Canis lupus familiaris: one gene and its partner. The protein of the gene in region 1 binds, or shares a complex with, the protein of each later gene. Links are inferred from orthologs where the notes say so. Each region holds a gene or a part of one and is shown in the gene's direction. Other genes may lie near its edges.

Evidence for each region.
Region 2: the proteins of STAT2 (region 1) and IRF9 are in contact, whole or in part, in a crystal structure (PDB 5OEN), measured with the Mus musculus proteins. The link is inferred for Canis lupus familiaris from reciprocal best matches to the Homo sapiens genes STAT2 and IRF9. Residues at the interface, in NP_064347.1 of Mus musculus: Arg163, Gln164, Lys166, Asp167, Glu168, Asp170, Val171, Phe174, Arg175, Thr177, Val178, Phe179, Leu181, Lys182, Asp188, His190, Gln191, Gln193, Gln194, Leu197, Thr201, Lys204, Met208; in NP_032420.1 of Mus musculus: Leu206, Leu208, Tyr212, Leu233, Asp234, Arg236, Ser244, Glu245, Ser246, Ser247, Met248, Asp270, Arg271, Leu274, Val275, Ala276, Asn278, Ser279, Arg280, Phe283, Val284, Gln285, Leu287, Cys313, Glu315.

What each region holds. Positions count from the first base shown.
Region 1 is NC_049231.1:1,010,930-1,015,312, reverse strand, and holds the start of STAT2 (signal transducer and activator of transcription 2), read left to right. Parts: upstream 1-1,489; 5' UTR 1,490-1,607; intron 1,608-1,676; exon of another isoform or gene 1,677-1,892; intron 1,893-3,731; 5' UTR 3,732-3,815; coding exon 3,816-3,946; intron 3,947-4,098; coding exon 4,099-4,252; intron 4,253-4,383. Other genes in the region: APOF (apolipoprotein F), read left to right, coding at 1-488. UniProt on the Homo sapiens protein: Signal transducer and activator of transcription that mediates signaling by type I interferons (IFN-alpha and IFN-beta).
Region 2 is NC_049229.1:4,280,191-4,282,883, forward strand, and holds the end of IRF9 (interferon regulatory factor 9), read left to right. Parts: intron 1-191; coding exon 192-533; intron 534-1,382; coding exon 1,383-1,498; intron 1,499-1,657; coding exon 1,658-1,786; 3' UTR 1,787-2,113; downstream 2,114-2,693.

The sequences.
Region 1 (4,383 bases):
GCACGGGAAGGGCAGTTTCCATGGATGCCCTGGCCTCTGCTCTACAGCTGTTGGCCAGGGAGCAACCAGGCCCAGAAAGGGCTCGACGCTCCCTTCCTATCAATGACTGTGAGCAGGAGCAGGAGGAAAATGTGCATAATGTAGTCCGGTTGTTTCCAGTAGTGGGAACCTACTACAATCTGGGCACAGCTTTGTACTACGCTGCTCAGAGCTGTTCAGACAAGGCCAAGGAACGAGGCCAAGATGGGCTCGTAGACATGGGTTATGACCTTCTGATGACCCTTGCTGGATGGTCTGGGGGACCCACAGGAGTACTAATCAGCTCCGCACTTAAACCTGCAGTGAAGGCTGGGATTCAACAGTTGATCCAGTATTACTATGAGCAAGAGGCCAACACGGCTCTGCCAGTGATCAGCAGGAAGGCCTTGGGGGGTATCTCAGATGTGGGTGACCTAGAAGAAACAACTACCACGGTGCTTTGGTATTAGTTCAGCTCTCTTATTAGTTTAGGGTTTATTTAATAACTCTGACTTAGATGCCGGAAATGGTAGTCTTGGGATATAAAAGGTGGTGATCACAGAATGAATAAATCTAATATTTTGACAAGCTGTAATGTATATGTGTTCAACATCGAAATCCCTGGTTATCAGGGAAGAAGGCAATGCTCTAAAATGCAGGGATTTTAAAGTCTGGGGTTTGGAGTCAGAAGATTTGGATTTGAATCCAGGCTTCACCTGTAGGAGCCTCAATTACAATTCTTCTCCACACTCAGTTTTTAAAACATCTAAAGTAGATAAATAAAATATGTACTTAAAAAAATAAAATAAAATAAAACATCTAAAGTAGAGGCGTGGGACGCCTGTTGGCTCAGGTCGTGGTCCTGGAGTCCTGCATTGGGCTCCGCATGGCGAGCCTGCTTCTCCCTCTGCCTAGGTCTCTGTGTCTCCCATGAATAAATAAAAATCTTTAAAAAGAAACAAAACGTCTTAAGTAGTGATAATCATTTTCCCTGGATGGGTTTTGTGGAAATTAAAAATGATACAAGGAACGTCAGTGCTTAGCAAGGTACCATCAGTAAACGGTTATTTATTGGCACAGCTCGTCGCTTCCCGCCCCAAAGAATCGACATTCCGGGCCCCTCCGGGAGCGCTGGGAGCCTGCAGCGCCCCGGGCCGGTCTCGGTTTCGCTGCCGCCGCGGGGATTCTCGGAAATCAGCTGCGGCGCCGCGCGGCTGTTCCGTCAATGGGACTCCTCCCCTCCGGGGACGGGGGCGGGGCGTCCTTGAGCGATCCCACCAATCGTGGGGCGGGAGGTGTGGTCTCGGCGCCGCTGGTCCCGCCCCGCGGGGGAGGAGTTGTGGCGACGCCAACGGGCGGAGGGCACTGGCAGAACGGCCGCCAGCGTCGCGGTTGCCAGGCTGCGCACGGCGAGCTCCCGGGTTCAGCCGCGCGTTCCAGCCCGCGGGCTCCGAGGGGGCGGGGCCGAGGAGCCGGGGGCGGGGCCGGGCGGGGCCGGGCGGGGCGCGCGGGGGGCCCCGAGCTCCCTCCCCGGGCCGGAAGCCTTTCCCGGAGCGGCTGGACGGAGGGGATCCTGAGCCTCTCGGCAGGTACGGGCCCAGGGGGCCGCGCGGGGCCGGGGTGCGGGCGCGCGTCGCTCCCCGGGGAAGGCGGCAGGCCCTGGGGTGCGCCCGCTCGTCGTGAGCCTTCGTCTCTAAGTCGAAATAGCTGTCCCCTGCTGCGTGAGCGAGTCTCCCATCCAGCCCGGCCGCCGGCGCTGACACCCGGCTCCCCAGACGCTCCCGGCAGCCTCGGAATCCCTTAGCCAGCGCCTTGACCCTCCGGGCTGTGTTAGGTTTGATTCTCGCCAAAAAAAGAAAAAAGGATGTCTGAAGGTAGATACGATTTCACTTCCTTCACTGTTATCTTACGAAGTGTAAGGGGCAGCGCAGCCCGGTGGCTCAGCGGTTCAGCGGCGCCTTGGGCCCAGGGCGTGACCCCGGGTCCGGGCCGAGCCCGCGTCGGCTCCCTGCATGGAGCCTGCTTCTCCCCTGCCTGCGTCTCGGCCTCTCTGGGTGTCTCTCATGAACCAATAAAATCTTAAAAAAAAAAAAAAAGCGTAAGGGACAGAAAGGTGAAACAATTTGCCTAAGGTCACACACAAAATGCAGTCCTTTTCCAAAAAGCTCATTGAGCAAAAAATGTATGCCCAAGAGAGTGAGGGATAGCTGGGGGAAAAGCGTTACAGCCTTTAGGCCTCGTGTTTGCGGTCTGTTTTGGGAAGACCATGCTTTTTTGTTTTGTTTTCTCATATTTAAACCTTACGGTTAACTTGCCACCTTGCTCTTTTCATAACAGTCGAGATTCCTTCCTTAAGAAGTGGAGACTCTCCATTTGTTTTTTTAAAGCAGTACAGGTGCATAGATTTCAAAGCCAAGCACTAGTAAAAGCATTAAAATGAAAAATAGGAGTCCCTGACCAATCCTTTCCTCCCCGTTTCTACTTCAAAGAGGTAGAAAAGCATCTCACGATTATTCATACTGACGGAACACAATCTCTCCCACCCCAGACATTTTTCTTTCATTGGTGATAAGATCATGTCACCTTTTTTGGACCACGGATGTATGTAAATACTCTTTTCTGTTAGGTTTAATCTTCAACAAGAATAGGTTTTGATTTCCTAAGCAGGCAGTTGGCAGGGGGCGGGGAAAGAGAGGAAGAAAGATTCTTAGCCCAGCCTACTTGGTAGCAGGCAAATACCAGGTTTGTTTGTTTTTTCAAATACCAGTTTTGAGTGAAGTTTCATGGTGAAAAAACAAACAAAAGCCTCTGCTTGAAAAAAAAAAAAAAAAAAAGCCTCTGCTTTCTTTGCCCAACCCTGCCTCTGTGGGTGGGGGGGAATTTCTGGGTCTCTCACAAAGTTGATAATATACATGAAGAGTCAGAGGTTGATAGAGGTCTTAAAAGTATCACAGTCTTAGAGATTGAGTGACCTCCTTGTAGAGTATTTAAATATTTGTGTTTTTTTTTAAGTATTTAAATATTTGGAAAAAAAATAAATATTTGGAAGGAAGTCTCTCCTTCCTACATGGAGAGCAGATTGTTAAGGTTTCAGCCCTTGATAAAGCTTTGGGACCATCAGGGATCATGCTGAAATAAATATTTATAACCCATTTATGATCTTGAAATGTTCCAGCATAAGTAAACACGAATACAAATTTAAAATAAATTCACTGGGGGAGATAGATGAAATTAAGATGGTGGAAATATTAATGTTTAGTAAAGTTGAATGATGGGTAAATGGATGATTCTTGTACTATTCACTCTACTTCGGTGTGTGTTTGAAAATCGTCATTAAGGGACACCTGGGTGGCTCCGCAGTTGGGTGTCTGCCTTGGGCTCAGGGCGTGATCCTGGAGACCCGAGATTGAGTCCCACGTCGGGCTCCCTGCGGGGAGCCTGCTTCTCCCTCTGCCTGTGTCTCTGCCTCTCTCTCTCTGTGTCTCTCATGAATAAATAAATAAATAAAGGCTTAAAAAAAAGAACTGATCATTAAAACAAAAAGGCCCACATATTGCAGCTCCTAAATAGTACTGTCTGAAAGAATATGAACTAAACTGATAATATTGGTTACCTGTGGAGAGAAGAGGAAGAGACCAACATTAGGAGTGAGATCAATGTAGCTCCAGTTTTCTTTTTTTTCGTACCTTTATAATTAATTTTTTTTATTATAGTGATAAGCAATCATGAGACTGTGGATGATTTAGTCCAGCAAAATTTCCAGTTGGGAACGTGCATCCTTCAGACTCAGACCCCAAATGGCGCAGTGGGAGATGCTACAGAATCTCGACAACCCATTTCAGGATCAGCTGCATCAGCTCTACTCAGATAGCCTCCTGCCAGTGGACATTCGACAGCACTTGGCTGTCTGGATTGAAGATCAGAACTGGTGAGTTCCTCAGGAAGTGGGGTGTGGAAAGTAGTTTCTTCTGAGCCCCCAGGATCCTGGAGACACCAAAGTTGTCTAGAAGGGGTTAGGAGGCCACAAAAGACAGTAGGAACGCTGCAGGGATACTAATCCTTGTCATTCCTGGTCCCTAGGCAGGAGGCTGCCCTGGGCAATGATGATTCCAAGGTGAACATGCTGTTCTTCCATTTCTTGGACCAACTGAAGTATGAGTGTGGCCGCTGCGGCCAGGACCCTGAGTGCTTTTTATTACAGCACAACTTGCGAAAATTCTATCGGGACATTCAGGTACTTGGAGGAGCCAGGAATGGCCAAAAAGCTGAATATAAAGGAAACTGAATGTAGAGGAGTATGGTTTAGGGTATGAAACAGGACCTGGAGATGTAAAGGGATGGGCGCAGATCTGGGGAAAAGAGGGA
Region 2 (2,693 bases), on another chromosome or scaffold:
GCCCCTGGCCTCAGAAGATGAAGCTGCTACCCCTGTCCTCCCTTGGCTTCTCTCGCTGGACCTCACGTTTCTCATCAGCAAAATGAGGGTGTGGGGTTCTCGAGGAGCCCCTCCATCCCCCAGGCCCTGGGGCTGACCAGGCGGACCCCTCAGGTGAAGCACAGGGGCAGCTGGTGGTTCTCTGTCCACAGACTACTCGCTGCTGCTCACCTTCATCTACAGTGGGCGCATGGTGGGCAAAGCCCAGGTGCAGAGCCTGGACTGCCGCCTTGTGGCCGAGCCCTCCGGCTCCCAGTGCGGGATGGAGCAGGTCGTCTTTCCCAAGCCTGACCCTCCAGAGCCCACCCAGCGCCTGCTGAGCCAGATCGAGAGGGGTGTCCTGGTAGCCAGCAACTCCCGGGGCCTCTTCGTGCAGCGCCTCTGCCCCATCCCCGTCTCCTGGAATGCACCCCAGGCCCCACCTGGCCCAGGCCCACATCTGCTGCCCAGCAATGAGTGTGTGGAGCTCTTCAGAACCACCCACTTCTGCAGAGGTGAGGCTGTTCCAGCTGAGCTGAGCCCCTGGCTCCTTGTAGCCCCGCCCTGGGACCTGATAGGCTCTGCCACCACCCTGTGTTTCTGCCAGTAGATCCCTCATCACAGCTGATGTGTGGCACCCTGCCCTTGCACCGTGCACATCCTGTGGGGCCCTGTGCTCCGCCCTGGCAGCTGTCTGGCAGCCACCCTTCCCTAGTCCAGGCCTCGGAAGATGAGGCTCAGGTGGAGCTCAGCACACATGTCACGTCTCGGGGACTGCCCCCGCCTGGCAGCATGCAGTGATGGGAGGTGTGCCTGCTGGGCCTCTCCCGCACAGGCTCCCACACACACCCTCCCCCTATTCACCGGCCCTGCCACACTCCGGGCAGCTCCTCTGGTCATTCTTCTCCCATCCACTTCTGGAATTCTACTCCTGCCTCCCTTCACCTGTAAATCTGGCCAGGAGTGTAGGGGACACAGAACGGGAGAGTTCCAGGGCCGTGGGTGCCCTTGGGGGGGGGGGGGGCGGTGAGCCAGCAACAGAGTGGGGTACCTCTGTGTCAAGCAGACCCGGCTGCCAGGAGGACTCTTAAGTTCTCCAGCAGAGAGCTTGCAGATCGTATAAAAATCAGTTACCTCAAAGTATTATTCGAGGAAGGGGCGCCCTTTGCTGTTTGCACATGGGAGTAGCAGCTTAGTTGCCACCGTTCCTCCTGGCATAAGGCAGCCGCCTCACAACCCTGCGGCTCCAGTTCTGGCCCCACAGCCATCCGTCTTTGTCCATGGTGGGCCCCTCTCGGTCCCCTCCCTGCCTGTGGCCCCTGTCTTCTCTTTCTTCTAGCCCTTAACCCTTTTTCCTTCATCAGACCTGGTCAGGTACTTCCAGGGCCTGGGTCCCCCACCTGAGTTCCAGGTGACACTGAATTTCTGGGAGGAGAGCCCCGGCCCCAGCCGTACCCCAAAGAGCCTCATCACGGTGCAGGTGAGTTCAGGGCAGGGGAAGAGTAGGCTAGCCTGCCCCTGGAGGGCGTGTGTTGGGGTGGTTCCAGCAGGAGACGGGGCCTGGGGGGAAGACCTCCTAGGGTAGTGTCTGCTCTTGGCTGTGCTCCTGACAAGCTCTCCCCCACCTTCTCTGGCACAGATGGAGCAGGCCTTTGCCCGACATTTACTGGAAGAGACTCCAGAGGAGCAGTCAGCTGCCGTGTCCCTGCTGCAGAGCCTGGGAGACCCTGCTTCCTCCTCTCCTCTCTCTTCCTCCTATCTGCTTTGAAAGAGACTCATTCTCCACGCTGTTGGCCTGCCTCCCTCGGTGACAGTTCTCCGTGGTTGTCTCTGACAGCTGCGTCCTTCAACTGCTCATGTACCCGGCTGGTGGAGAACTCAAGGATGATCTTTATACCCCCTGTTTTTTGTTTTTGTTTGTTTGTTTTTGTTTTTTTGAGATACACCTTTCATTTCTGAGGAACTGACCTGGGAAAGTCCAAATGGTATGAACTCAGGGGACCTTTCCCTCTTCCCCCAGTCCTAAAGCCAAGCACTTTACATTTTCTTCTTAGATGTTCACTAGGGATTTAAAATAAAATTTTTTGAAAGAGGAGTCAGTATCTGCTTTGTTGGGATGAAAAGGTAGCAGGGGTCACAGGGAAGTGAAAGAGATGTAAGGTGAGAGTGAGTACTTGGGTTCTCTTCCTGCTGACCTCTCTGGGCCCTTTTCATCTCCTCCACCGGCAGGTTCTGGCTAGGACGCTGTCTGGGCTCTGTGGGTTCTGGGCCTGGGGAGAGGGGAGAGGTTAGCCACCCGGAAGAGCACAGCCTACAGCTGCTGTAGCCACCAACCTCACGCGGAAAAATCTGGGCTCTTCTCTTCTTGGCTAAGGCCTCCGATTCGGGCCTTACAACAGGCTTAGGGTTGGACTCTGGGCAGGAGTTCTAAATGAACAGGTGAACTTGGAAGTTGCCCTCAAATTCTGGGCTACAAGCACTGGGGCCTGGAATGGGCGGCAGAATCAGAGGGAAGAGCTGCTGAGCCTCCTGTGCTGAGGGAGACCAGGCCCTGGCACCTCTTCTCCCAACACATGGGGTGCTATCCTCTCAATGGAAGGGACTCCCAAACTGTTTTCCTTGCTCTACCTAAGCCCCATAGAAGACCATCTGGCCTAGGCTGCAACGTCACCCAC